Rattus norvegicus: one gene and its partners. The protein of the gene in region 6 interacts with the protein of the main gene of each other region in a pairwise test. Links are inferred from orthologs where the notes say so. Each region holds a gene or a part of one and is shown on either strand. Other genes may lie near its edges.

Region 1 (4,030 bases), on a different chromosome or scaffold from region 6:
ACCACGCCCTGCGGGGTGTGGTCACGTCACACTCTCATTTTTGGGGGCTCCCGGTTCCGCCCACCGACTTCCGGTTCCCTCCCTGTCAGTGACCCGGCAAACGGAAAGCGCACCGCCAGGTCGAGGATCTCCCTCCGCCTTGGCGAAGCGCTCGCCAGGACCACGTGGTAACCGCGCAGGAGCGGGGCGAGCGGCTTCAGTGCCATGGGGGCCAGAGTCGCGCGGGGTTACCAGACCTGACCGATATCACTGGAGGACTCCGCAGCCCAGGCACCACCCTTCGTGTTACGTGAATGGTGGCGTTTTTGCGCAATTTCCGGAATTCGCCCAGGCCCCGCCCCTCCCTCTTGGCTTGCGAAATTTAGGAAAAGCGCAGGCAAGAGGGCGTATGCGGTATTAGATACTAGTAAAAATCAGTATGACAGGCGGAAGTCCCGCCCCTTTTCAAGTCCGTTTAAAGAAAATCTGAGCCGGAACTTGCCCTAGAACCACGCAGAGCCCTGGGAATCAATTCCGGAAGTCCCGCCCCCTGTCGCCTCCGTCAAAACCGGGAAAGGACGACCCGGATGCACTGTCACTGCCACGGGGGTCGCGCCAGGGCGGACGTCACACACATGGATACGCTAGGAATCACGGGATTGCCCGCCGCGCTACGCGGGCCGCGCTGGCTGACGACGAGTCGCATAGTTTATGACCTCACGCATAGCGGACAGAGTCTGCTCTTTGCTGAGCCTAGTTGCTTTGTTGTGACATCCGAGCGAAGGCGACGAAGGGGTCACCAGTGCTGACCCCGCAGGCCACTGTCACGGAGCCTAAGCGCAAAAGGGAACTGGGAGGGCGGAAGAGCGTCTACGCATGCGCGCCCTGCTGCTGTTGCTGTTTCTTGAGGCGGGGGTCAGAGGTGAGCGGTGCCGGAAGTTCCCTTTGTGCTCCTCCGCTTTCCCGCCACAGGAGGGCGGTTGAAAGCGGCTGACAGACGTTGTCTCCACGGAGGAAACGGGAGGGAGTCGATCGTATTTGACGTCACCGGTGAGCGCCTTGGTCACAGGATTATCGCCCTGTTGACCAAGGAGCCGCAACCTCCTGTGTCTGGGAGCGAGAGCAAAAACCTGCGCGTGCGCGCTGAGTGCCGCTGATTCTGCTGGTGATCCCTGTTTCCGGTATCCCGGATCAGAGGTGACCGGGACCGGAAGTGGCCATTTAAACTACGAAAATCAGTTGTCAGCGGCCGTGAACGAAACGCCTGCGGGGACTTTACCAAAAGGCCTTAGACGGTGGCGAGGACTAGAGTCTGGGCACCGGAAGCTAAGGTGCGTCACGGGAGCCCCGGGAATGGCTACGAAGGGTAACGGGGCAGAGTGACGAGGCCGCTGCGGAGCACAGGGGTGGAGCTTAGAGGAGGTGAGCGGAGAACACTCCGGGCTCGCGTGGACTGGGTCTGACCTGTTTCTGCTGCTTCCGCGGAGTTTTCCGGCTAGGAAATAGGATGGGGCCCTAGCAGGAGAAATGTAGGACTGGGGCGGAGCCTGGGGCAGAGGCTTGGCTTTATTTGAGAGGAGGGGCGGGGTTTGGTTCCTTGGCCATAATGGAGTCAGGTGAGCATAGCCTTAGCTGTGTTCTCATCCTAAGGTTCTCTGATGTCATGACCTTGTGTGCGTGTTTCAGATGTTGTGACGTCACCATGAGCATCACTACATACTGATATCACTGCACCATCCCCGCTCCCCCAGACTTGCTGGCCATGTCCTCAGCCACCATCGTGCACGACCCCTCGGAGGCGGTGCCCCTGTGCCCGGCGCTGGGCCTGTACCTGAAGCCAATCGCGCGGGTGACAATCTCGGTGTCGCTGCCCCCTCCGCCCCCAGCTCCGCCCCCTTCGCCTTCCTCGACGTCCCCACCCCCGCGTGCGCCAAGTCGTGCAGTGTCAAACTGGGAGGTGATGGAGGGACTGCGGGCGATGGCACAGGGGGCACGAGCGCCGCTGTCATCACTGCGCCTGGCCCGGGGCGGCCCTGAGGTCGTGCGCTTTGAGGGCGAGGTCGAGAACCGGGCGCTTGTGCGTCCCGCACTCGCTGGCCTGGACGGCAAGACTATGATGCTCAGCGGCCTCCCCCATGGCCTGCGTGTAAGCGCCGCTGAGGCCACGCCCCCACCCACGGATGACCCCGCCCACCCTCATGACACCATCCACCTTCAGGGCCTGCCCTGCCGCTGGTTTGCGCCCCGTGGGGGCAGTGGCGGGGATGAGGCTGGAGGCATTTCTTCCCCTGGTGGCATTGCCTCAGCAGAGAGGCCCAGCGAGGCTCTCCTGCGCCAGGCTTTCGGGGCGTTTGGTGAGATCCGCCATGTGGACATTCCCATGCTGGACCCTTACCTTGGTGAGGACGGCAGCCATGGCGGGGGCGGGGGCGGGCGGCTCCGCTTCGAGGCCTACGTTCAGTACCGAGAGCGTGATGCCTACGCCCGTGCCATGGCTGCCCTGCGTGGTGCTAAGCTCATGTTTAGGGGCACGGACGGCAAAGCTGTGGCCTGCGGCATCAAGGTGAGGGGTTTGGCGGGACCTGGAGTGGATTGACATCTTGTGGGCGGAGACTAAGCTATGACTGACAGAGTAGGGGCGGGGCACCAGATGTAAATGACACATGGAACTCCTTGGCGCTTGCATGTGGACAGGTGGGTGGTTCCTCGGGAAAAGTGCAGTGCCTGAGATGAGGGGTGGGGTCCATGACATCATGATGGTTTCAATGATGTCACAGGGGTCAAAGGGGGCGGGGTAGTGTGGAGATCAAAGGTCACCCACATGACATCACAGGGCGGCATTGTGATGTGACCACACGTCCTCTTCACTCCCCTGTGCTCCTTCACCTGCAGGTGACATCAGATGCCACACAGCACCTGAGCGAGGCTTCGATCAGACGCCGGCAGCTGGAGCGGCAGAAACTACAGGAACTTGAGCAGCGGCGTGAAGAGCAGAAGCGGAAGGAGCGTGAGGATGAGGCGCGGCGGCGGGCAGGCCAGCGGTGAGCCAGTCTGAGGCAGGGTGACTGGTGGGTGGATCAATGGGATGATGTCACTGGGAAATCATTTGGATTATATCACTCACATGACATTGTTGATAATGACACCGCCCTGATGAGCTTACTCTGATGACATCATGCTGTGTGACATCATCAGGTCTTGTATGAGGTCATGCTGAATGGTATTGCTGGCCGATATCACTCGGATGACATCACCAGGTGACATCATCCCAAATGACTTTGTGTTGCATGACATCATACCATATGACATCATTGGGGTGATGTCACTAGGATGCAATATCATATATCATGGTATGATCTCATGTTAAATGTGTTAATAAGAATGTCACCCATATGAATGACAGAGTGACATCACCACCCCTCACTTTCTCTTTGTTACACTCCTGGTCCCTCCCACCTGTCACTCATTCAGTAGTTGCAAACCCACACTCATTTATCCCACACTCATTTCCTGTCTGGGGCAAAGTCATTCGATGATGTCAATCCCTATGATGTCGCCCCCTATCACATCACCTTCAGCCTGGGATGAAATCATTTGATGACGTTGCTTGAATGACGTCATATCTAGTGACGCCAAACCCGATTGCATCACACGATGTCACGCCCAGTGACATCACCCACCCACCCCCAACCACCCAGGAAGCAGCGGGAGGCAGAGCAGCAACAACGGGCACGGCGTCGGGAGGAGAAGCTTCGGCGCAGAGAGGCACGGCAACGAGCACGGAAGAGACGAGGCCGACGTCGAGAGGAGGAGGAGGAGGAGGAGGAGGCAGAGCCCCAGCCTGTGTTGGGGCGTGAGGAAGAGGAAGGTGCAGAGCCCCGTCGGCTACTGCTCGCCCAGCGCAACCTGCAGTCTGTGCGGCTCATTGCTGCCCTGCTTGCCCGCGCTGAAGTAAGCAGGCCTTATGGGTGGGCAGAGTCAGAGGAGAGCAGAATTACAGTGTTGCCTCAGTCAGAGGTGGTATGGGCATGGGTGGGCAGGGCCTCAAGTG
Region 2 (3,500 bases), on a different chromosome or scaffold from region 6:
GAGAATTGAGGCTATAGCAGGAGATAGTGTAAATTTAGACCCATTACACATTGCATAACAAGGCTAGTTCCTCAGGGGACTGGATAAATGGAGACAAGGCTGGGCTGGTGGGTTCCAGCTGAGACGTCTTGGCCGAGTTCTAGCTAGCATGTGTGCTGTTGGACTCCAGACTGAAAGGCAGTGCGAGGTAGCAGACAGGAGGGAGCGCTGCTGCAGGTTCTTAGGATGCAGTCCCAGCTTCCTGGTGATTTGACACAGCAGAAGTGACTGTTTCCTGTATGCCTCGTTTTCTCTGCAAATGGAATGGGACTTAACTCCCGGTGTAGAGTCAGGAAGTGTAAACGCTCGTAGAAATGAGGCTGGCCGTGTGGTGAGTGCTGTACGGATGTCAGCTGCTGTTGTGTAAAGAAGGGAAGGTGTCAGAGGGGTGGCGGGATGAGAAGAGTTGGAGAAGTGAAGAAGATGGGACCGTCCTGGGTGCATGCGAGGTGTGGTTATGTTGGAAGCCTGGTTTCTTGAGAACTGAGCCACCCTTCTAAGTATTTCATAATCCTAACAGCCCCACCTCAGCGAAGAGCGGAGCGGATAGGAGCGTAGCGGTGAGCCAGGCCGTCTGGCCTGAGTTGAGCTTTGCATTCACTGCATTGTGGATTTAGACAAGTCGTTTCAGTTCTGTGCTTCTCTTTCCTCATTTTTATGATGGAACAATGCCACGTTCATCTTGGGCCACTGTGAGGATTCCAGTGTTTGTGTCTGTAAACAGCTTAGAGTTAAGGCCTGCATGGAAACAGCACTATCTGGGATGGTGTGTGTGTGTGTGTGTGTGTGTGTGTGTGTGTGTGTGTGTGTGTGTGTGTGCACGCGCGCGCGCGCACGTGCATCTGTGTGTGTGTGCGCGTGCACGTGCATCTGTGTGTGTCTGTGTGTGTGTGTGTGTGTGTGTGTGTGCACGCGCGCGCGCGCACGTGCATCTGTGTGTGTGTGCGCGTGCACGTGCATCTGTGTGTGTCTGTGTGTGTGTGTGTGTGTGTGTGTGTGTGTGCGCGCGCGCGCGCGCGCGCGCGCGCGCGAGTTTTCTTTGCCCATCTCCCTTCCCCTCAGACATATCCACACTTGTCCTTAGTCCCGCTTCATGTTTGATGGGCTGCTTTGCTTTGGGAATTGCTACCCTCTCAGTCTCTCAGTGGGTCACAGGAAGGGAGCTGGTCCCGAGCAGTGACTGGTTTAGCCATGTGGATATTAATCATGGAGCTTGATATTTCACCAGCACTCCTAGTAACCAATGTCGTCTATCCCAGTACCCCAGGGTCGGGAGACGGAGTGGCTCTTTGGCATGGAGGAGGGCCGGAAGCAGCTGGCATCCAGTGCGGGCTTCAGGAGGTTGGTCACAGTGGCTCTTCACCGAGGCCAGCGGTATGACAGCATGGAAAGCATTCAAGCAGAGTTGTCGGCCAGAGTCATGGAGCTGGCCCCAGCTGGGATGCCCCCCAAGCAGGTACGGAACCCCTCCGACAGCAGCTGTCACTGCTGCCTGGAGTCCACTGGCAGCCAGGAAGGCGGGGACCAGGGGAAGGGACAAATGAGAACAAAGTATAAGGACAGAGATCATGAAGAGGCCATGGTGAGACCCATTACTTTGTATGCTAACATAATTCATTGAGAGGCCAGAGAGACGACTCTAATGTTAGGAGCACTGGCTGCTCTTCCAGAAGACCCAGGTTCAATTCCCAGCACCCACATGGCATCTCACAACTGTCTGTAACTCTAGTTCCAGGGGACTCACACCCTTGCACAGACATATTCCCGCAGTACACCAGTGCACATTAAATAATGATAAATTAAATTAGTATAAGAAATTAAAGAAGAAAATCAGGATGAAAATCTGACCATAGCCTGGAGAGTCACCGTTAGGGGACAGTTAAATGTCCCAGCAGAGAGAGAAGAGCCAGCCACTCCAGGTGTTGAGGTGGGAGGTCTGTGCTTTTTGTTTTTTGTTTTTTTTTGTTTGTGGTTTTACATTTTTCCAAAAACAGATTTATATATTTTACATATGCGGTTGGGGGCCTGTGGTGGTTTTTTTTTAAAACAGGTCTCAAAAAAAGATCTATTTATATATTTTATGTATATGGTTCTTTCCTCTGTGTGTGCGTCTGCATACCATAGGAGAGCACCAGATCCCATGGGACTAAGACAGTTGCGACCCGTCATCGTGTGGGTACTGGGAACTGAACCCAGGATTTCTAGAAGAGCAGCCTGTGCTCTTAACCTGAGCCATCTTTCCACCCCTCTTCCCCACATTTTAAGTGGACTTCCCTGGTTGTTTTGTATCTAGGAAGTATCATGGGAGGATATAAAAGAGAGAGGACCCAGCCAGCTCAGTCAGGATGTCAGCGTTGCTGGAAAGGATAAAAGTTGCACTGAGAAGTGGCTTTACCAGTTGACATCTGTCACCACAGGAAACTGGCAAGTCTGTTGTAAGAACTGGACTCTGGGACAGCCAGGGCTCCAGAGGGCCAGTGTGATAGAATTGGCTCTGCTTGGGTTCCTAGCCTGTGGTCTTGCTCACTGGGCTGACCTGGGCTGGCTGACCATGACTCTGATTTTTTTTTTTTTTTTTTTTGTCAGACTCTGGGATTGTTGTCCGTTAGAGAGATTGATCTCACAAAGGCCTGGATTCTCTGGAGAGCTTCTCTCATCACTATGTCTGCAAGGGCAGGAATTACTTACTGGCAGTTAGGAAATCTGCTGAGACAGAAGTGAGAATGGGACAGAGCAAGTTTAGGGAATATACTCTTATCCCGAGATGTGGGCAGATGCACCAGAGATGAGACTAAGTTGGGGAAAGGAGGGGGTCATCGTTTCCCCTGGACTTTTGTTATTTCTGTTGGTGTCCAGATTCCTTCTCACAGATTACAGCTCCTCCTCTCTCGTTGGTTACTGTCCTGGGCTGTGGAGAATCCATGTGCTTACTGATGAAACTCTTACTTCTTTCTTGGGCAGCACCAGGTGCAGGTCTCTGCTGCTTAGGGGATCTCTATGTGTTCATCTGAGTTTCTCTCTTTTTTTTTTTTTTTTTTTCTTTTTTTCAGAGCTGGGGACCGAACCCAGGGCCTTGTGCTTGCTAGGCAAGCGCTCTACCGCTGAGCTAAATCCCCAACCCCTCATCTGAGTTTCTAAAGTGGAGTAAGCCTCATGATCTCTCTCGAAAGGCCCAGGAGGGCAGGTCTTTGGAGCCATGCTGTCCTTGATGTGGGGAAGTCCTCATGGTCACTCGTACCAGAGCAGGGTGGATAACATCACACACTTGTTAATTGAGCTGATGCTTTGCCACATCTCTGTCTCCCCCTTCAGGTGCCCTTCCTGTCTGTTGGCGGGGACATCGGGGTCCGGACTGTTCAGCAGCGAGCCCACAGTGCCTTGAGCGGTGACTACGTTATTGAGGATGTGCAAGGGGAGGACAGGCGGTATTTCCGGCGGCTCATCTTCCTCAGCAACAGGAG
Region 3 (4,249 bases), on a different chromosome or scaffold from region 6:
TTGCTGGGATTTGAACTCAGGACCTCTGGAAGAAGAGACAGTGCTTTTGACCTCTGAGCCATCTCTCCAGCCCGTTTTGTTTTTCTTTTCTTTTCTTCTTTTTTTTTTCCCCCGGAGCTGAGGACCTAACCCTTGTGTTTGCTAGGCAAGTGCTCTACCACTGAGCTAAATCCCCAACCCTTTGTTTTGTTTTTCAAAGACAGGGTTTCTTTGTGTAGCCCTGACTCTCCAATTCATATTGTAGACCAGGCTATCCTTGAACTCACAAAGATTCACCTACCTCTGCCTCCTGAGTGCTGAGGTTAAAGGCTTATGCCACCACACCTGGTTACCTTGTTTTTTTTTTTTTGTTTTTGTTTTTTTTTAATATATAACAATTTATTTATTTTATGTATAGAAGTACACTGTAGCTGTCTTCAGACACCAGAAGAGGGCATCAGATCTCATTACAGATGGTTGTGAGCCACCATGTGGTTGCTGGGAATTGAACTGAAGACCTCTGCAAGAGCAACCAGTGCTTTTAACCACTGAGCCATTCTCTCCAGCCCTGCCGTGAGTTTTAAGTTTCAAATCTGGGGGCTGGAGAGATGGTTCAGTGGTTAAGATCACTGGCTGCTCTTTCAAAGGACCTGGGTTTAGTTATCAGCTCCCACATGGCAGCTCACAGCTGTCTGAGATTCCAGTTCCAGGGGACCGAACACTCTCACATACATACACGCAGGCAAAACACCAATGCACATTAAAGATGTTCAATAGTAGAGTGAGGGAAGCCTGGGTAGGAGAACCACTAAGCCTTACTGTCAAGGTATATATATAGATAGAGAAGTTCAAAGTGCTCTAGAGGCAGAAGCAAGAGGGGCTTAGTTTCAGGCTTGCTTGAGATACACAGCCCAATGCTGGTTTTTCTTTTTAAACACCAGTAGTACCAGTTTAGTTTCCTAAAGAAACCTGTATCCACTAAGTGTTTTGGGTACCTTATACCACGCAAGCCTACGGGCGAGGCAGGAAGGGGGCGCTAATAAGTTTCTCCAGTCTTGTACAACGTAGGGATTCAAACTCAGATCTGAATACTTCTTAGCATCTTTGAGTCGCTAACTCCTAGTTCAGCTGCCCACCTGTACTTCTGGTTTCTATCACCTCTATGGGCTTCTGAACCTTACATGCAAATTAGCCGAGGTTTGTGTTTAAGCATATAGGATATCTCACACAGGTTTAACAAAATTCTTGTTCATGGAAATAAATCAAGAAAATATCTACGTATTGAAGATATCCTTTGGAAAAGCCACTGCGGGTTTCCTTAGTCTGCCCTAACCCTGAGAAAGGTAAACCTTTCCGTTGCTGAGGCGACAGACACAACTTGGCTGTTTGGTTCTCCCGCGCACCCGGATGACGTCAGGCGGCGAGATTCTCTTACGCCAAAACTTCCGGCCCACCATCTTTGTCCCTGGCAAATTGGGTTTTGCGCAGTGTCTTAGATCTAGAGAGAATCGTGACGGGCAGGAAACCATTACACCACCTTCCCGGCTGTGCTCTCTGACTGCCGCCGCCACCCCGCCCTTGCCTCCGGTGAGTTCAAGGCGGCTGGCTTTGGGGTGTGTCCCTGACTGGGGGTAGTTGTGAAGGAAGGGAACCCCAAGCCGGGTCGTAGGCGCAGGAGGAAAGGAGAAACGGGGAGCGTGACGGTTGAGGATGGAGGGAGTCCTCGGGTGTGACCGTTGTGAGGGAAAAGCTTGGAGAAAGTACCTCTTTCGTAGTGACCGTGGTGGGTTGGGGCTGAGCTCCGGTGTAGCAGCGATAGTTGGGGGCTTCAAAACGAAGCAAGGTTCGGAAGACCGGCTTGGGTAGGGCTCAGGCCAGGGGTGTGGCCGCTGGAGGCCCAGGGAGAACCACCTAGATTTCCCGTTTGGCATCTGTTCATTGAGAAAGAAGCTTGGACGTGTCCGTCCAGCACGCCTAGGGAGAAAGGATTCCCGCGACCGTTTGGTCACTGAAACCTCCGTTGTCACCCGTATTCGGAGGCATCTCTCCTTATCCTGGACAGTTTTCTTGACCGGGTCTTGACCTGCGGAGGGAAGTGGGTAAAGAGAATAGGGGACTAAATAATGTTCTTCGAGAAAGGAAGGAGAAACTTGCGTAATTGACCTCCTGTGTGAGAGGGGGAAGCCAGTGAAAGTAAATCTTAGCCTGGAATTGTTTTTCTTTTTTTAGCTCCCTTTATTCCCCGGGGTTATTAGGAGCAGTCTAGTTTGGGCAAGGCTGTAAAAGTCTACTAGAAGTGAAAAAACTGGAATTTCCTGCCATTTCTTTATTCTTTGAATTCTCAGGATGTATTAGTATTTTGAGCAGCCCTGTTTAGAGGAAGGCTCTTATTAAACTCAAGCAGTTTAGGTATGAAGCAGTATGAATCTGTCATGGATGCTTCGCTGAATTTTTTTTTTTTTTTATCATTTAGAAGGGAGATTATTTTTTTAAAATGGCCAAACTCTTTTGTGACCTTTGTGGTTTAAAAGACAAAGGACACACTATAAGCACAGCAAGGCAAGTTAACTGAAAAGAAGGTGGTCTCAGAGAGGAACAATCTAAATTATCACCTGCTTTCCTTGTGTAGTTCTACTGCTCAGCCTCAGGGTGCACTTACAAGGTATTAATAGAAAGCGGCAGGTGAAGTAGGTGCAGCCACCAGTAACACATTCCCGGGATGACTAAGTGAGGCGGGCGGACATGTAAAATGAGAGCAGAGTAGGTGTCTTGCAGGGGAGACTCCCTGAGAAATAAAGGGGAGTGTGCTCTGCAAAAAAGCTCCCTAAAGTTGAGTGGTAAATTAATACAAAGTAAACATTCTGAGAAAATAAGACTCAGAGAAGTCCCTCACATCCCCTTCCCCTGTAAAAGGTCATTGCTTTCCTCTTAAGGCACACATTTGAACCAAGTCAGACAGGGAGCATTCAGAGGACATCATCCCCATTTTTCTTCTTTCCTCCTAGGCTTAGGTTTCCCCAAATGTCTTGGAATTTCATAACAGTTGGGTGTAAAACTGTTGGGCTTCTTTCTTTACGCATAATACTATATTAATGAATTAACTTGTAGTTGTTTAAATAGAAGCCAGAGGTGGATTTAGCTTTTAAATGTTTTATTTCTGATAAGCTAATTAATCTGAAGCTGCTATTGTCCTGGTGTTATGAACATTTTAGCCAGAAATGGTCTTCATACCACTCATCCTTATAAGCAGAGGTTCCTGGAATGTCACTAATGCTTTGCAGTTTACTGAACTCTGGCTAGTTATTGACTTCATGTGCAAAGAAGGGCATAGTGGCCTTGCCAGTGCTAACGTTGGCTGCCATTTCCCAGACAACTACTTGAAATTAAGACCTTACTAATTTGTTTCTGACTGTATTCTACCCAGCCTGTTAATCTTGGTTTGCTGTTGAGTTGCTCTTTGGGGAAATTGGAGGAGGGGAAGGCTGGGAGGAGAGAAAGGACGTTGACAACCTATATTTGGCAGAAACTAGGTTATGTTAATCTAGATCTATACCCTTGTACTGTGAAAGGCAGTGAAGCAATACTGTGGGCTAGGACAAGTTCAAGGATTACTGCTTTGCCTGGTGGCTGCTCTGTCCTTTAACAATGTCCCTAGGCCACACCTTAAGTCAGTCAGTGACCTTTCAGGTTTCATGTTGTATAAGGTGGTGTAAGTTCAAATTCCATTGTGGCTTGCTTATTTCTAGGGATTTCCTGAAAAATTTTGCCCCAGTAGGATTTTGAATTTTGAAGCACTAGGCAAGTTGAAGTTGTATTTTTCCAGTTCTATTGTGGCTTTGTGTGTGTGTGTGGTTTCTACTGTGGGCACCAGTTTTACACCCTATACTGGAGAATTTGACTGAATATTTGGCAAGTGTTTGGGAGGGTCTTTATTAAAAAATAGTTATATGAATTGTGAGTTGAGAGTCACAGGGACATTAAGGTTCTGTCACTACCACTCTTTCTCATTTTAATTAAATACTTAAAATTCATACAAATATATAATGTGTTTAAGTCTAGGCTGCTCCCCCAGCCCCCCCAACCCTTTCTTTCTACAGTGCTTTTGTTTAGACTGTTTTCATTCTCCCTTATCCCCCACACCTCTGCCCCCGCCTTAAGGATAGACTGGATGCCTTGTTTTTCTGCCTGTATGATGGCAATTATTTCATCACAATTATTGACTATGGTGTCAGTTAAATGAGTGATATATTTACCTGCTTTTTTTTTTTCC
Region 4 (4,176 bases), on a different chromosome or scaffold from region 6:
CTTTGGGGTCTACCCAGAAGTGTACACTACCAGCATAATAGCTTTTACAATCAGAACAACTTGCTATATTGTAGCAACCCTAATTTCTACTGTCTGCCAGCATGTGCACACAGGCTCTATAAAATTGCTGGCTACTGGAGCTCTTAGCAGACAGCAGATACATTCAAATTTACAAGTTTGTTCTTCCAACTTCTTGGTCACTTGTATGCTTGTAAGGCAGCCTCAAGGACAGGATTCTGGTCCCTAGACCCAGTGCCCTCAGGTATACTGAATGGTGAGGTGTGGGGGGGAGGGGTAGGCTCCCAGCATAACCTGTCCTCAGTGAGATAATACACTCTACTTTTAAAATACATTTACTTAAGTACAAAGTGGGCTGATACAAAAAAAAGTAGAAGTAATCAGTAACACACACCCCAAAACCTCAAGGGCCTGGACTATGGCGGCAGACAGTCTCCTGGGCAATTGTGGGTGGGTGGGGAGACAAGGGGAGAGCATTACCCTCATAGAACCACTAGGCTCTCTGGTAACCCAGGGCCCACTCTGACCCGGAGTGGTTGCCTCCAATTGGCAGGATAGATCCTAAGATCCAGCAAGCATGGCTCAGGATGCTATTAGGGAGCAGCCCTGCCTTATCCCAGATAGGGATGAGATAGTTAGCAAGTAGGAGTGGGCTGGTAGCCACTTGGCATCAGTGATAGACCCCACAGAGCTCAGAGTTGGGCAGAGCAGCCAGGCCTCTGGTGTCCTTTGGTGTAGCCACATTCTCAGTCATCAGAACTTCTGTCTTGTCGTCTGTGGGATGGGTTCCTTCCACTGTCCTGGCTATGTTCCCGCTTCCTCTTATAGCAGGGAGAGAAGTCAGAATGTCTCTGGCGTCTGGGCCTAGGAAGACAGGGACACTTGAAGGGTCCATCACCCTGCTAAGCATCACTCAAGCCCTGGCCAGCTTTGCGCCCCACCCCCTTCCTTAGTGACCCAGATAGAGTTGGGCCTAGCCTACCGGGCAGGAGAGGGAGAAGATGAGCAGCTGTCAGCCTCCCTCTTGTGTTCTTTGTCTTTCTTCTTTTTGTGTTTCTTATGTTTCTTCTTCTTTTTCTTCTTTTCTTTCTTGCTTTTCTTATGGCTCTCTGCACTGCAAGAAACAATACAAAGGGTCTAAGCCTGAAGAACTAGAGTCACTCCACTGTGGGGTAGTCTCACCCAGTAGGGAAAGACAGAATAGGGCAGGGTCCATACCTTAGCATTGCACACTGGTCGTTTCTACACATTGTGAGTTTATATTTGTAAATGAGCTTAATATTTGGCTCCACAGCAGCAAGGGTGAATGCTGGCATGCTACCAACCTGGTGGGCCTTCTCTCTGTCTCTCTCTGCAGCCTTGTCAAGCTCGGAACTCACTATTTTACCTACATACAAAGCTGACATGGCACAAAAGTAGAAGTAACCTGACACACATACAGTTAAATCCCAAGGCCTGGAACCAGCTTATGAGAGATCAGCCTGCTTCTGTCTACCAGAAAGAAAGATGTGTGCCACTACCAAAGCCAACTTATACTTTTAACTACTACACCCCCCACCAAACTGGCTAGCATCATGGTCCTGAGTGTCACCCTCCTGTTTGTACCCATTATCCTGCTGGATTGCCTGTGGCAGCTACTGAGACTCAGCCGGGAGATGGAGGCCCACCTACTTCAGTAAACTAAGAGACCTAAGGCAGTGCTTTGCCCCTTTATGCGTGCACAGGAAGTCAGACTCAACTTACTCCAGTTCAGCCTTGTCTTCAGCACGGGGCTTCTTCCTGGTAGCAGATGGGGCAGTACTTGGGCCTTCGCTGTCCACACGGTGGTGCTGTATAAGAGTAGCTGTGGTGAGGGACACTCCGGGAATCCTGCCCCACATCTCAGACACCCCCAAACCCCAAGATCCTGGGCATTAGGGTTGACAGGGTTTACCGTGAACACTGACAGCCCAAGTTTGGCAGCCTCTTTGTCTTCTCGGGATAGTGCCACACGGCCCGCGGAGCCACTGCAGGGGACAGAGCATTTGAGGACAGTTCTGAATCACCGCCCAGTCCTGCCCTAGACTCCCCAACTGGCCGCACCTGGCGCTGCCCAGACCCAGCAGCCGGTCCACACCCTTCTCCTCAGGATCTCCTCCTTCCCGTTTGCAGATCTCCACGAAGTCCTGCGGAAGACAGGAGGTTCTAGGCCGGGACAGACGGACCCCCAGCCACCCTGCGAACCTTGAACCCCTATCTCAGACTCACCTCCTTGCTCAGGCCGGTGGGCTGTTTCCTCACGTTCTTGTAACCACTGCGAACGAGGGGCGGGAATGCTCAGCAAAGGTCTAGTCCCTCCTTTGCCTTCCTCGTGTGCCCCGCCCACATCCAACCCCGCCCCCAGGGTCACCCAGACCCCGCCCCCGGCGCGTGCGGTCGCCCCGCAGCCCAAGCACTTACAGTGCGGCCAGCAGCGCCTCACGCTCCGCCTCACGCACGGCTGCCAATTCTTCTTCACGGCTCGGGCCGGTACACGGCGCGCGGTCCTTCGCGTACCAGGTGAGGTCGCGGCCCTTCTGCCAGCGGCCTACTGGTGCCATCAGCGAGTTGCCCAGGTAGTTCTCCCTCTGCTTGTCAGTCTTCACATCTTCCCAATTGAACTGGTCTTGCCCGCCACGCACGCCGCCGCGACTGGAGCCGAACATGGTGCTGGAGCCGCTGCACCTTCTTCAGTATCTACGGTCTGGAGTCGGACTCCCCGCAGCACTCGGCCTCCGGACGCTCGCCGTGACGTCACTCTCCCGCCCCCCGCGCGCGCCTGCGCTCTAACTAACGTTCCTGTGCGCCTGCGCACTGCGTATCCCGGACCGACTCCATCTTTCCAAAGGGCGTTCATTGCTTCACCCACAGGCACATCCTTCGTCCTATTGCGCAGTACCTCTTCAAAAAGGCAACCGTGCTATCACACCTGATAACGCTTGTGTTAGGCATCTCCGTGGAGTGGGACACCACAACACCTTAGTGACACCAGGAGGGGCTGTCCGCTTGTTTCCTGGAAAGCCAAGCGTGCTAACTCCAAAGGCCTGAGGTCCAGGTCACTGTTGAAACTAAGTTAAGTAATGGCAAAACTTCACCGAACACTGAGGAGCAGATAAAGTCGCCAAAGGAACATAGATCAACTCTTCCGTGCTCTGAGTGACAGCGTGCATGGCATTACAGTAAGCTAAATACCACAAGTCGAAGCATCCCTAAACCAGAGCGATCTGTGTACTCCGCAGGTGAAGCTTTACCCGGCAGTTCACTGAGGCCTTGCCTCAAAATGAACAGAAACGGATTTAATGATAGATCACTCGCCTAACATGTAGAAGGTTTTGGGTTCCATCCCTAGTCTGATAAATTACCCAACCTGGAACACTCTAGCATCCCAAATAGACCAAGACAATCTCATTTTTGTTTTCATTCTGAACACAAGTTGGGTACCTGTCAGCAGCCTGTGAGGCTCCTGGTATAAGCCCTGAGATCAAGTCCTGGTTTTAGAGGAAATATCTGGATTCAGATCCCTCAGAACAAGATCATACTAGGGATGAATGGATGGTCCCAAGGGGAGCTGCACAATACATATCCTTTATTTGCCTAATGTAATTGTCATCTCCAAAGCTTACTGCCTTTGTCTGCTAACCTAGGCCTAGTCCTGGAAGCTTCTAGCCTCTGTACAATCTTGCTTTGATTGGCAGAGCTTACAACCCTTGACCATGTAGCTTCAAATGCTCTTCCCAAGCTTGGAGTGAGTGATGAGAGCCAGACAGCTGAGTTTGTGGCTGGGGTCCTTTGGCATCTTGGGCTTGATGGCCTGAGGCTTGGCAGGGGCCTTTTTTTTTTTTTTTGGTTCTTTTTTTTCCCGGAGCTGGGGACCGAACCCAGGGCCTTGCGCTTCCTAGGTAAGCGCTCTACCACTGAGCTAAATCCCCAGCCCCGGCAGGGGCCTTAATGGCCTCTGAGCATGCACTCTCTGCCTCTGCATTGTTGGCCTGCATTTTCAGGCCTTTCTTGTGCTTCTTGGCAAAGCACATGTTCTTCAGGAACTTGGGGTCAACCCCCTTCAGAAATTTGTATCTCTATGACTGGGGTTTCTTTTTTTTTTTTCTTTTTTTCGGAGCTAGGGTCCGAACCCAGGGCCTT
Region 5 (4,263 bases), on a different chromosome or scaffold from region 6:
GGTCCCAGGGAGCACGCATTCCTTGTTCCAAAAACCCCAGTTCTCAAACTTTAGAACCCTTACCTCCCCCAGGAGCAGACTGTCCCAATTCTCAGAGGTGAAGGGGAGGATCTCTCGGTCAAAATCGAAATATTTCTTCTTACAGCAAACGCTGAGATGGTAGAGAACAAGATGGGCCACATCCACCCTGGAGGAGCATGAGATTGTCAACAGCAGCAGCATTATGGAGTCAGGAGTCATAGAGTAAAATGGCGGAGAGCACCATCCTTCTCACCAGCGAAGCTGTAACCTCCGTACTTTCTCAGGGCCGCCCCGGCACACACAGCATTCAAATTCATAGAATCTGTATATGGGTCAGGACAGAGGGACCTCACTCAACCCTCCAGTACGAGCTGCAGAGGGCTAACTAGTCAGTCGGGAGCGCGGGAGAGAGAGCACCCCAGGCTCCTGTGCAGTCTCCCTGGATCTCACCTGTCTCCGTAAAGGAGGGGCTTGCTCAGACACTGGGTGCAGGCCTCATGGAACCACTGGAGGCAGCTCCGGCATTGCAGCATTTTCAGGTTCCACCTCAAGGGGAAGACAGCGCCATGGCCCTCAGCCTTCTTCAAACCACAGGGCCCCCCCTCACCCTCTTCGCTCCCCTCTGTCCTGGGCTCTACCACCACAAAACACCCATGCCGTGGCTGGCCCTGCTCTTCCTTCACTTACTCCCCCGGGCCCCCGCAGTAACAGTAGCTCTGCTGCCTGTTGCTCAGATGTCCGGCGTCCCAGTCCAGCCCTTTCAGACCGTACGGCAGGGAGAGTTTCATGCCCAGCATGGCCCGGGCATAGGGACCCTTCTTCAGGGCACCTCCCCTCTGCAGAGGAACAGAGGGAAGCCTCAGAGGGCAGGGAAGGAGGAGAGGTCACGGGAGGCTCCCACACAAGCAGGCAGAGAGGTGCCTTTACCTTTGTGGCAATCGCAAAGACACACTGGCGGCAGACCCAGGAGCTGCCCTCTCCTTCTCCAGGGGCTGGGGCCCTGGGGACGTGACAGTCCTGGTGATAGGCTGAATGAGGAGAGAAGGCCACAGAGTGGCCTTTAAGTCCTGACCAGGGCATTTAAGACCGGTCCCGCTGGCAGGTCTCATCCTGACACTCAAGTTGAGTCAACGGGCTTCTAGCAGTTGAGGACCTTGCCCAAGGAAGCTTGGTTAAGAAATGTGAGCGAGCTACGGTAGGCCCTCAGCCTTGTCACCTGCATCCACGCTCCCTCTCCCTGTACTGAGATGAGGTGACAGGGTGAGGACTGGCCCAGGCAGGAGACGTGCGTGACTCACGCTATGAGGGAGGGTAACCCTTCTAGTGGTAACCCAGAAGACCCAGGGCAAACTGCACCCCCTAAACATCCCGCCCTCTCACCATGGCGACACTTCTCACAGCTGACCAGCCGGTTCCCAGGGACCACGGTCTCAGAGCGACACACACAACAGAGGAGCTCCTCACCAGGAAGGGCGGCTGTGAGAGAACAAAGTGTCAGGAGGCCCACTTCAACCCAGCGTCCCCATCGGCTCCAGCTGCTGCAGAGGGAAGCTGTGCTTTGAAGGGTCTCACCTGGGCTGATGTCCTTCCATAGAACTAGAAACTGGGAATCATCCTCAAACTGGACCAGACACACCTCCCGCGCACTGTCCACCTGGAGTGGATGACCAAGACCGTAAAGTGGGGGCAGGAATCAGACCGGCCTGGGAAGGCAGGGGATCAGAGGTGGGCCTCACCTTTTTGATGGTGCCCAAGTACAGGAGCCCATCAGTCCATCTTGCCAGCACATCTTGACCTTCCCAAAGCCGAGGTCTGGGGCCTGAGGTGGGAGCAGGGGAGGCTGGGTCCCAAAGAGAGGGAGCACCCAAACGGCTCAGCCGGGGGAGCTGCGCCATTGCATCCTGGGGTGGGCTATTCTGAAACAGGATGGTTAGAGTTTATGAGCGCTGAGAAAGTGTCCCTGTGTGGGTTGTTTTCTGTTACGGATGAAGAAACCCTGACCCTGACCAGGAATCTCCAACCCCAGTCTCGTAATCCTTTAGAACCCCGAGGAGGCAGGTCGTTCTGGTCAGCTTCTCTACTCCACTCCTTTCCATCTCCCCTGCCTAGCTCCGTAGTATCCCAGCTCCTCCGGACCTCCGGTGGAAAAGATGTTTGCAGAATCAAGGTTACCACTTAGTTTCACCTTTCCCAGCTGTGTAGAGGTAGCCTAACTGGGGCAATCTGTTGCCCGGAGATGTTTTGGGAGCTTTTCTAAAGACGTTAAAGGAGTAGAAACAGCTGCCTCCCCAGGCTTGTGTGTCTTATTTAGAGCCACCATCCTGGTGCCAGGTTATGTTAGGTCACCCTCAAATTTGGGGCTCCTTGACCTGGGATTAGATAACTTCCCTGAGTGCCCCAGGAGGGGGGCGTGTCCCTGTCCAAGTCTCTACTCCCCTACACTGCCAGTCCACGGAGGGACTTGAGTCGCCCCAGCACAGATCCCAAACTGGGACCAGGAGGCTCCCCCAGCCCTTCCTGCGCACCGACCCCCGGTTCCCTGCCCCCCCCCCTCCGGGCCTCCCGCCTTCTCCTTACCGGTGACAGCTGGGGCAGCTGGAAGCCAGGTAGGGGCAGACCCAAGAGATCTGGGTGAGTCCCCGGTGCGGGAAGACTGAGTGTGAGCGCCGAGGGGCGTGCAGGTGGAGGCCAGGGGGGTCCCCGGGCCCAGCCCCTCCGTCCTGGCCGCTCTGGGGCGTATGACGCAGCAGCCAAAGCAGCAGCAGCGGCAGGAGGAGTCGACAGAAGGAGGGAGGAGAGTGGAGGGTGGGGAGCACCAGTGGGAGGAGACGACGGAGGGGCGGGTAGGCAGCACCTCCCTCACCTCCAGTAGGCCCGGAGGGCGCTGCGCTATTGGAGGCGCGGCCGGTCGGGGAGGACGAGGAAATCCCTGTAGCCCCCTTTTCGGATAGGAGGCTTGCTCTGAGGGCAGCAGGAAATAACCTTCTTGGCAGCTAGCCTGCAGGTCAGGGCCGGGCCCCGCCCCATGCCACATCCGTTAGTTGCCCCGCCCCCGTGGCCACTCCAAGCTCCGCCTCCGCACGCGGAACCGCCCTCCTCATTCACGCTTTCTGTTGCCCCGCCCTTCTGCGCACGCGTAGCCCCGCCCGCGCGCCGCACCTGGGCACACAGCCACTCCTCCCGCGGCGAGCACTGGCATGGCCGTGCTCCTCTAGGAGGGAAAGGACCAGAGGCTACTTGGAACTAGTACTGGGGCGGTGACGCGCCCACACCAGCCAATGGGCACTAGGCGGCACGGACCGAACCATGGTTCGAACCGGTGGGCAGGGGAAGTGAGAGATTTAGTTGGTCACAGAGGGCCCGGTGTGGGCACTATGGGCACAACTCCCTGAGCTGAAGGACAGAGGAGAGGCACCAGGGCAGGCAGCAAAGTTAGTGTGTCCCTCCAAGTGAAAGCCCATAGCCTCCCTCACTCTGCAAAACAGGTCAAAATGGACATTTCTACATCTTACGGTATTTACTCACAATACTTCATCTGGCAGCTACCAATATTAATAAAACCATTAAGAGCTGTAACAGGGTCTGGAAAGATGGCTCAGTGGTTAAGAGCACTTACTGATCAGACCCCACATCGATGGTCAAAACTGTCCATAATTCCAGTTCCAGAGGCCCCGAAGCCTCTTCTGAACTTCAAGGAGCAGGAGACATGCACATGGTGCACATGTATATACTCAGGCTAAACAACTGTACACACACAATTTTTTAAATCTAAGATTAAGAAAAAAATTAACCTACACCAAATTTTCTTTATTTGATAGTTGGGTACATAATGTTGTCCACCCAATAAAATCATGTCTCAGCCCCGCCCCACCCCCGTGTTATACATATACACAAAACAGACACGCACACCCGCTTGCACAGGAGCCAGGCTCTGCATCCATCTTCATTTCTTATTAGCCTGAGCAGTGCCGATCACGCACTGGTTCACCTGTGGATGGACCAGTGAATAGGGTTACACGAGATCACTGCTTACAATCCGAAGTCTCCCATTCTGCCCCAATGCTGGGCCCACTGTCTGACTCCCTGAAATAAGGACTACGGCAGCAGGCTCGGCCTGACCCCCTGGAGGGACAGTGGTGCTGTGTCCACTAACCTGGAGGAGACCAGCAGTCTGAAAAGATGATAGAGATATGCCCGCTGGTCATATGTCAGCATGACACAGGCTACTCCTTGCTCGAGAAG
Region 6 (4,037 bases):
GGAAGAGAATGCAGAGGAGGAAAGAAAACAAAGAAAAGACCGGGAAAGGAAAAAAACAAATCCAGCATTTAAGAACCCAAATTACCTTCTCATGTGGCTCTATATAGAGAAAAATAGTGGGCACAGCGTTCTCCTTCAGTAGCTTGTTGTTGCACTCTCTCTTAAAGCAGTCTGGAGTAAAGTGCTCCGAACAGATACTGCTGTACTTAGTGGGCTTGAAGTTTTTCCTTCTAACAGCTGCCTCCCACTGTTTACAAAGACTGGGACGAGTAAGAGGAAACCTAAGAAGATACAATTCAGTTCTCTGACTTTACTTTAAAAAATAAATAATACCCTTCCCCCATTCTCATACTAAGGAAAATCTTAACATACTAAGGAGAATCTGATTGGAGATCAGTTCCGGTTACTATTCTCACTCAGTGAGCTTCACCTTTTTATACTGAAGACACTTAACAGTTCAGTTAAAATAGATCGTATGTGGGGTTGGGGATTTAGCTCAGTGGTAGAGTACTTGCCTAGCAAGCGCAAGGCCCTGGGTTCGGTCCCCAGCTCCAAAAAAAAAAAAAAAAAAAAAAAGAAAAGAAAAGAAAAAAAATTGATCATATGTGCAAATTCTACGCATATTTTTACTAAAAATTTTGTGTCTTATAGAACAAAACTTGGACATATGTCTACATCCTGAAATAGACGTCTAGCTCTTTTTAATCACTCCAACAAAGAGACTACATCCTGAATTGGGCAAGTGACAAAGATGGTAAGGACGTTATTTTATGGCTTAATTCAGTGTATGGAATGGGGAATCCTTGTATCTATTGCCACTATGCTTTTCTATAACAAAAACTTGGTGGGAGATGCTAGAGGAATCAGAAATGGCTGAAAAGGAATGTTTCCACTTATTTTTACTATTCCACTACATAAGGTATGTGGGACCCTGATCATCATTTTCTTTATGAAGACCTAACCAATCTTCCTGCTAGTGTTTATTCTTTACACAGCCAGCTTTCTCCACTGCTACTGCACACAGGCTGGAAAAAAGATATTCCTGAAAAGAAGTACAACCACTGTGGTAGCTTCTTATAAATCTTAGTATCTCATCTCCTGGCATAGAGCACAAACTCTGAACTGTCAAGATCTTTGCCATTTACTGTTCTTACATAAGGAATAAGACTCATTCTTGTTTTTATGTTTCAACATCCAGCAGTTGAAACAGTAGTTTGATGTGTGCCATTTTTTTTTTCTTTTTTCTTTTTTTCAGAGCTGGGGACCGAACCCAGGGCCTTGCGCTTGCTAGGCAAGCGCTCTACCACTGAGTTAAATCCCCAACCCCGATGTGTGCCATTTTTAACTAGTCTGCATATTTGAAGACTCCTGGGCCATCTTAATAAAGCATAGGAAAGGGAAGTGGCAAGTCGGATGCATATCCCTGTCACCATTTCCTGATCTGTTCTGACATTCTGAAGGCGTATGAAATTTCAATCAATCAAGTCGTAGTAATTGGACATATTCTATCCTCTTCCCACAGAGAAAACACCAGCATACAACTCTTACTTTCTAACAAACACTTTTAAACAAAAACACTAGCTCCCCAAATCCCTGAGGGAACATTTTGAAATTTGTTTCTGTAATTGTTTTCCCTATAGACAGTTTGGATAATTTTCCAGTGGGTCTGATTTCTTAGCTATTCTCTGCATACAGTCAGGAATTCTTCCAAAACCTAACATAAAACTTGTAATAACGAATTTAGCTGCCTAAAAGTATGTCACATTTTGTGGACCGTTAGCATTGCTAATAATCACCATCAGTAACGTTAATTCTATTGCCTTCTTCTTTCAAGAGAGTATTTTTCATCCTGGATTCTTGCTTGCTGCACACACAAGAACAAGGCCTGACAGCTGTGGGGGAAAGCTAACATTAGTTCCATCAACCTTTCCCAGGGCATCTGAGTAAAGTGAATGCTATCGTTTCATTACTACCGTGTGTTGAAAGACTGGGGCTCATCTTGGCAATACCAAGAGTCACCTCTAAAACCCACAGATCCTTAAAGCTTGGTTCTTTGAAACCAGGTCTAAAAGTCCTGGTCAGATGTCAACACTCAGCTATCCTGCTTCCCTCCTAACAGCAGCAGCGAGGTCAGAAGCCAGGTCTCCCTCCCATGCTTTTCTAGTTCCAGTTTATCCCTATGGGACATTTCCACGGCTTGGCTTGGGACGAAATCCGGAGGGCAGCGAGAGGCTTCCAGGCGTCCATCGCTTGCTCGCCAGAAACCCTCCACGAGCGCAAAGGCGCGGCCGCAGCCTCAGCAGAGCCCAGCCAACGGAGGCGGCGCGCGCCGGGAACGCGCAGCCATGGGTCCCCGCCCCCGCCGGCCAGCCCCGTCTGCCGCCCGAGCCCGCCGGCCGCCCCGCCTCCTCCAGGTCTCGCGCGGCCACGCGCCGGGCTCCGCCTCCACCCGCCCGCGCGCCCCTGCCGCGGCCGCGGAGCACGCCAGTTACCTACTTGTGGAAGGAGACGGGCTTGTCCTTATCGTACCGGTTCTTGCAGCCGTAGGCGGAACAGGACTGCACCATCCTTCTGGCCCTCCACACTTCCCCTCTGCCCGGGAGGCAGGTGAAGGGGCCGTCGGTGCCGCCGCGCTCGGCTTTGATACGGTCGCCGCTTTCGGTGGCTTTGGTTAGCAGTTATGGGGACGATTACCTCACCGTGGGGGGTGACCACCCGGTCCGTTGTGGTGTTTGCTTTAGCAGAAAGACAACAGCTGTCGCTCGTCTCCCATCTTCAAGATGGCGGAGGCAGCTTCAACCTCACCTCTCGCGAGGAGTTCGCTCGCAGGCTCTGATTAGCCGAAGGTAACGTTCCCAGGGAAGCTGACCATTGGTTAGGGCGAGGCGTGCCTGGGGGGCGTGGTCAGCAGTGCGGAAGTGGGTGGGTCCTCTGCGCCTTGGCCGGAAGAAAGCGCGTTTGTTTGGGAGCCTTGCTTTAGTCTCTTGTAGGGTCTTGTATTGGTGAGTGTGGTAAACTTAATTCAATTTAAACCGCCTGTTGGACCCAGAAGCGTAAAGGGAAGGTGGGAAAGCTCGTCCCTGGTCACATGTAATTTTTAAAAAGGGCGGCTGCGGAGGTGTGATTTATACAAATCTGTGTTCCACGTTCAGAATCCAGATGGCCGTCTACTTAAAGAGCGAGTACAGACGTGCATTTCATTTCTTCTAAGCTGAGAATCAAAAGCACTTATTTTTTAAAATTTATTTTATATTTGTGAGTACACTGTCGCTGTCTTCCGACTCACCAGAAGAGGGCAGCGGATCCCACTGCAGATGGCTGTGAGCCACATGCGGTTGCTAGGAATTGAACTCAGGACCTCTGGAAGAGCAGTCAGTGCTCTTAACCGCTGAGCCGTTTCTCCAGCTTGGAACGTTGTTACCTTTGCGTTCTGTCTGTGCTGGAAATTGCGAGCTGTTGCAGCTATTTTTCATGCTAGAGAGAAGTGTTACATGCTTGACCTTCTGTAGTTTTGAGTCTGGGGCGCGTGTGCCCGACATCATTGTAGACCTTTGACTCTTGAGCCCGCATACCATCCTTTACTAGCCCCTCTAACTTCAGCACACATGGACTTGCCTTCTGAGTCACCATGTATGTGGTTTAATGCATTTGCCGGCTACTTAAATCTGGAACCCTGGTATCAATGAGATCAATCAAACAAACAAAACCAGGACTTAACTCAGTGGTAAAGAGCATTTGTTGCTCTTGCAGAGGACCCAGATTCGGTTCCCAGCACCCACAAGGCAGTTCACACCATCTATAACTTTAGGCAAATGGGCACCAAGCACACATGTAGGTCAGAGGACGGCCTGTGGGAGTGGATTCTCTTCCTTCCACCCTGTGGGCTTCCAGGGACCCAACTCCCATTAGTCTTGGTTCCCAGTGTTTTTATCAGCTGCTCCTAGGATTTCTCCCCCTTCCTCAAGACTTAGGTTAATCTCATAGAGTAAAACTAGTACCTCTTGGTTATTCTCTCACCAGCAATCTTGAATTCAAGT
Region 7 (3,982 bases), on a different chromosome or scaffold from region 6:
TCTGCACCTCAATCACTGCTCTTCTCCTGGCCTCTCTGATGCAGGGGTTTTTCTCCAGACTCACTTCGTCCAGCTGCCCGATCAAGCCCTGCAGCTCTGTCTTGGACCTCAGGTACAATTCAGGAGGGCTCTGTGCCTGGAGAAGTTCATTTTTCATTTCTCTCATCCTCTTGAGGACATTTTCTATCTTTATAATGGAATGGTTCTGTCCCAGGTCAAATGCATGTGTATTGTCAGCTTCCTCTTCTAAATCTAGATATTTTAGTAATTTGTTGATATCTTCCACCACCTCCCTCCGATAATTTCTGATCTCTGTACGCCCACACACATCTAGAGCATCTAAATCAGCCATCAGTCCTGACAGCACGCATGATAAGTGCCTGCAAGTCTCAGAACTGTCCACGCCCATCAGAAGTGCAATCAGAGTACCTCTGGCCTTGTTCACCTCACACATCACAGAATTGATCTTGGCGACAGAAGGATGCACATCCTCGGAAAGTGGCAGGGAAGGCTGTTTCCTCACACAGTCTTCAATAATCTCTTGTACCGCACAGATCTTGGTTAGTGTGTGGTACCTTGCTTTCCGCAAGGAGATCTTCCCTCCTGTTTTAACATGTGTCAGCCTCAGAATGATGTCCTGGATGGCTTCCTCAAACTCGCTAGTCACACAGTTGCTTCCACTGTAAAAGGGCACAGTCTTTTCTTTCACAAGGGCCTGAGCTTCTTGAAAGATATTCTTGATTTCAATCCGGTGTGGGTGGTTCGCGTTCTGCTCCAACTCTTTGAGAAGGCGTTCTGTGTCCTGTGCTGCCCTCTTCCTAGCTTGCTGGATGTCTCCTTTCCCTTCTGTATCCACAGAGTCGATTTCAAAAAGTTGTTTCGTCAGAATCCTCTCCAGTCTCTTGTAATTCTTGTCATCCGACAGGCCACTGAAGCCAACCACTTGCTGCTCTATACTCTTTACTTCCCGTTGGATCTCCTGAAGCCTACTAATAGAAGGGTGTTGGTTTCCCATATCCATACTTGTGTGTTCAGTTTCACAAGCACTGAAAGATAGCAAGAACGATAACTTATTAGTCTCTTAGGGTAATAACCCAATCCAAACACTCCTTTTTAGTACACTTTTTAAAAGGGCTCACTGGGGCTGTGGAGAGAGTTCTTAGTCAAGTGTCCAGGTTGCAACTCCAGAACACGTGCAAAAAAAAGCCAGGGAAGGGGCTGGAGAGAGGGCTCAGTGGTTAAGAGACTTGAATGCTTTCTAGAGGACCTGGGTTTGATTACCAGCACCCATATGACAACTCATGACCACCACTAATGGTAACTCCAGTTCCAGGGGATCTGATTTCCTTTCTGTACTCTACAGGCACGCATATGGTGCACAGACATCCATGCAGGCAAATGAAACACCAACACACATAAAATAAAACAGAAAGGCCAGGCAAGACGGTGCCCAGTTAAATTCCCAGGGCCGGGGAGGCAAAGACGGATGGAGCTCTGGGATTCACTGGCCAGCCAGCCAGCCTAACTGAGGGGCTCCAGGACAATGAGAAGCCTTGCCTCAAAAAACAAAACCAAAGGACACCACAGAAACGATGGCGGGTGGACAGGTCAAACTCTGGCAGCTGGGCATGCAGCAAACACACGGAGGGTTTTGTCAAAGGTTTAAAAGACACTTGAGGAAAAGGAAGATGTGACATGTCAACTGCCTCTTTGAACAGGTACAAAAAACAAACCAACCAAGCTGGTGAGCTGGTGTATGCCTACCATCCTAGCACCAGGGAGACAGAGGAAAGAGAATTACGAATTCAAGATCGCCAAGGACTACTTGGTGACACCAAGAATCAAAAGCAAAAAGAAAATAAGGGAACACGGCAGGGATTTTAAGAACAGACAGGAAGGTACTCATGGTCCAGCCTGGGTGGATGTCTAGGCCTATGAATTCTGTCTTAAACCATGAAAGCGAGCTGCATACACTTTCATATACTAGGTCAACCCACCGGGTTAGCAGCAACACAATCTCCTGAAATCCCACCAACCTAAGCTAGTCTTTGGAACCAGCAGGGTGCCCTTGTGGAAGTAGCTCTTCCAAACTGACAGGAGCAGCATTCGGACAGACAGCTAAACTTGCTACTTTTCAGAAAGTGGAACTAAGAAAACGTCCAAATCCTCGCCCTCGACTTCAAGTACCCGCCGCAAAAACCTGACGACTGCGATTAACTCGGTCACTCGCCTCCCCGTAAGTGTGCTTAGAGCATTTCCCACGCTCTCAGGTTTCTGTCAAACAGCTCACTTCTGGCGGGCAGGCCACAGAACTCAGTCCCTGGGGAGGGTCCAAGCCCGGCCTTCGCAGCGCTTTACTCCGAGAGGTCTGGGTGGCGGCGGTCTTGGCTGCCGCGGAGGGCGGCGAGGTGGGAGATCGGCCCTTCACGGGGAGCGGCACCGGAGCGGAGCCCCCAGCGTCATCCCCCTCGCCCTTCCCGGCTAGGTCTGACCCGGGCAGCCGGTGAAGGGGCCGGCGGAGGCGGCGGCAGCTACTGGCCGCGGCGGCCGCTCCCGGGTCTCGGCCGGGCCGGACGCGCCGCCACCTGACCTCACAATGGGCGCGCGGCGGGCGCTGGCCTGCGCAGCGAGGGTGGCCAAGTGCCCGACTCCGGAAGCTCGGAGGTCGCGCCCCCGCGCAGCGCTCACCTGTGCCGCACGCGCCATCGCGCTCCGCCACCTCCACTTCCGCAGCGTTGTCGCCGTCCTCGCACAGCGGGCCCCTCAGCTCCGAGCCCGGAGAAAACTCGCCTCCTCGTCCGTGCGGGCCCCGCAACCGGTCGTCCCTCTCAGGGAATGCGCAGGGTCGGCCTCGCCGCGCGTCGCCCCAGGCTTTGCGACGCTGCCGTAAAGCCAACCTTTCCACTGTCGCGATCCTGCCGTACGCGCGGGCCATGGCGGCTTTGCGGCCCGGAAGCAAAGCTCTTCGCCGGCTGCTCTGCCGGTCCTTCTCCGGCGGCGGCGTTCGGCTGGCCCGTGAGCGCGCTACGGAGCGCAGGGATGCTGCGTCCAGCCGGGTAAGCGGGACGCCGGGGCGCTGGCAGGGAGGGAAGCCGCTGAGCACCCCAACGACGCCCGCGTCTCTCCGGCAGGCTAATGATCCTTGTAGCGGATCCGCTGTGGAGAGTGCGAATCTTGTTTATTCTACCAAGTTAAATACCATTTGTATCAACACAGCTCTTGAAGTGTGTTTTCTCACTTCCGCTTCGTTAAGACTAGTGTTCGGTTTAAAGCGGTGGCCGACTTCATCATCTCACTTGTGTAGACTTCGCATTGTTTGTAAATATGCACGTGATGTCAGAGATCAACAGTGCTTGTCTGCAGCAGGAAAGGACGTGAAGCCTTTTTAAAAATCAGTTCCGGGGCTGGAGATGGCCCAGCAGTTAAGAGCACTAACTGCTCTTCCAGAGGTCCTGAGTTCAATTACCAGCAACCACAAGGTGGCTCACAACCATCTGTAATGAGATCCATACCCTCTTCTGATGTGTCTGAAGACAGTGACAGTGTATTCCCATATATAAAAAATAAATAAATCTTTTTTTTATTAAATCAGTTGCACTTCTTTGCGACAGGATGTTCTGTTTAAGGAAGGCCTAGGTTTTGAGTCTATCCGTCAGATGAAAACATTAATCAGTGGCTACTAACACTTCACCTGCCACTAGGCTAGTGATAGAGACTGGAGAGCTTCGATTAAGCAATAATTAAGAGAGGGAATGAGGGGCTGGAGAGACGGCTCAGAGGTTAAGAGCACTGACTGCTCTTCCAGAGGTCCTGAGTTCAATTCCCAGCAACCACATGGTGGCTCACAACCATCTGTAAAGAGATCCGATGCCCTCTTCTGGTGTGTCTGAAGACAGCTACAGTGTACTTATATATAATAAATGAATACATCTTTAAAAAAGAGAGAGAGAGAGGGAATGAGGGAGGGGAAGAGAGAAACAGA

The links.
Region 1: the proteins of Thap1 (region 6) and Akap17a interact in binary tests that used the Homo sapiens proteins (3 or more experiments, as listed by UniProt). The two-hybrid records come from large-scale screens. The link is inferred for Rattus norvegicus from reciprocal best matches to the Homo sapiens genes THAP1 and AKAP17A.
Region 2: the proteins of Thap1 (region 6) and Mettl13 interact in binary tests that used the Homo sapiens proteins (3 or more experiments, as listed by UniProt). The two-hybrid records come from large-scale screens. The link is inferred for Rattus norvegicus from reciprocal best matches to the Homo sapiens genes THAP1 and METTL13.
Region 3: the proteins of Thap1 (region 6) and Ap2b1 interact in binary tests that used the Homo sapiens proteins (3 or more experiments, as listed by UniProt). The two-hybrid records come from large-scale screens. The link is inferred for Rattus norvegicus from reciprocal best matches to the Homo sapiens genes THAP1 and AP2B1.
Region 4: the proteins of Thap1 (region 6) and C10h1orf35 interact in binary tests that used the Homo sapiens proteins (3 or more experiments, as listed by UniProt). The two-hybrid records come from large-scale screens. The link is inferred for Rattus norvegicus from reciprocal best matches to the Homo sapiens genes THAP1 and C1orf35.
Region 5: the proteins of Thap1 (region 6) and Phf1 interact in binary tests that used the Homo sapiens proteins (3 or more experiments, as listed by UniProt). The two-hybrid records come from large-scale screens. The link is inferred for Rattus norvegicus from reciprocal best matches to the Homo sapiens genes THAP1 and PHF1.
Region 7: the proteins of Thap1 (region 6) and Bag5 interact in binary tests that used the Homo sapiens proteins (3 or more experiments, as listed by UniProt). The two-hybrid records come from large-scale screens. The link is inferred for Rattus norvegicus from reciprocal best matches to the Homo sapiens genes THAP1 and BAG5.

Annotation. Positions count from the first base shown.
Region 1 is NC_086030.1:21,425,448-21,429,477, reverse strand, and holds the start of Akap17a (A-kinase anchor protein 17A), read left to right. Parts: upstream 1-1,230; 5' UTR 1,231-1,310; exon of another isoform or gene 1,311-1,401; intron 1,402-1,665; 5' UTR 1,666-1,741; coding exon 1,742-2,542; intron 2,543-2,871; coding exon 2,872-3,020; intron 3,021-3,677; coding exon 3,678-3,930; intron 3,931-4,030. Other genes in the region: Asmtl (N-acetylserotonin O-methyltransferase-like protein), read right to left, coding at 1-8, 114-206. UniProt on the Homo sapiens protein: Splice factor regulating alternative splice site selection for certain mRNA precursors. Mediates regulation of pre-mRNA splicing in a PKA-dependent manner.
Region 2 is NC_086031.1:77,426,605-77,430,104, reverse strand, and holds part of Mettl13 (eEF1A lysine and N-terminal methyltransferase), read left to right. Parts: intron 1-1,298; coding exon 1,299-1,495; intron 1,496-3,351; coding exon 3,352-3,500. UniProt on the Homo sapiens protein: Dual methyltransferase that catalyzes methylation of elongation factor 1-alpha (EEF1A1 and EEF1A2) at two different positions, and is therefore involved in the regulation of mRNA translation.
Region 3 is NC_086028.1:68,599,274-68,603,522, forward strand, and holds the start of Ap2b1 (AP-2 complex subunit beta), read left to right. Parts: upstream 1-1,449; 5' UTR 1,450-1,566; intron 1,567-1,618; exon of another isoform or gene 1,619-1,762; intron 1,763-1,960; exon of another isoform or gene 1,961-2,074; intron 2,075-4,249. UniProt on the Homo sapiens protein: Component of the adaptor protein complex 2 (AP-2). Adaptor protein complexes function in protein transport via transport vesicles in different membrane traffic pathways.
Region 4 is NC_086028.1:44,493,009-44,497,184, reverse strand, and holds C10h1orf35 (multiple myeloma tumor-associated protein 2 homolog), read right to left. Parts: upstream 2,801-4,176; 5' UTR 2,703-2,800; coding exon 2,458-2,702; intron 2,312-2,457; coding exon 2,266-2,311; intron 2,184-2,265; coding exon 2,101-2,183; intron 2,025-2,100; coding exon 1,952-2,024; intron 1,848-1,951; coding exon 1,762-1,847; intron 1,133-1,761; coding exon 1,001-1,132; intron 883-1,000; coding exon 765-882; 3' UTR 338-764; downstream 1-337.
Region 5 is NC_086038.1:5,018,512-5,022,774, reverse strand, and holds the start of Phf1 (PHD finger protein 1), read right to left. Parts: upstream 2,801-4,263; 5' UTR 2,599-2,800; intron 1,938-2,598; coding exon of another isoform or gene 1,917-1,937; coding exon 1,758-1,916; intron 1,676-1,757; coding exon 1,594-1,675; intron 1,498-1,593; coding exon 1,402-1,497; intron 1,050-1,401; coding exon 949-1,049; intron 858-948; coding exon 709-857; intron 568-708; coding exon 472-567; intron 344-471; coding exon 275-343; intron 188-274; coding exon 64-187; intron 1-63. Other genes in the region: kinesin-like protein KIFC1, read right to left, coding at 3,965-4,009. UniProt on the Homo sapiens protein: Polycomb group (PcG) that specifically binds histone H3 trimethylated at 'Lys-36' (H3K36me3) and recruits the PRC2 complex. Involved in DNA damage response and is recruited at double-strand breaks (DSBs).
Region 6 is NC_086034.1:72,609,891-72,613,927, forward strand, and holds the start of Thap1 (THAP domain-containing protein 1), read right to left. Parts: upstream 2,801-4,037; 5' UTR 2,568-2,800; coding exon 2,497-2,567; exon of another isoform or gene 2,444-2,496; intron 282-2,443; coding exon 86-281; intron 1-85. UniProt on the Homo sapiens protein: DNA-binding transcription regulator that regulates endothelial cell proliferation and G1/S cell-cycle progression.
Region 7 is NC_086024.1:136,590,479-136,594,460, forward strand, and holds the start of Bag5 (BAG family molecular chaperone regulator 5), read right to left. Parts: upstream 2,801-3,982; 5' UTR 2,689-2,800; intron 2,247-2,688; exon of another isoform or gene 2,231-2,246; intron 1,047-2,230; 5' UTR 1,022-1,046; coding exon 1-1,021. Other genes in the region: Coa8 (cytochrome c oxidase assembly factor 8), read left to right, coding at 2,934-3,056. UniProt on the Homo sapiens protein: Co-chaperone for HSP/HSP70 proteins. It functions as a nucleotide-exchange factor promoting the release of ADP from HSP70, thereby activating HSP70-mediated protein refolding.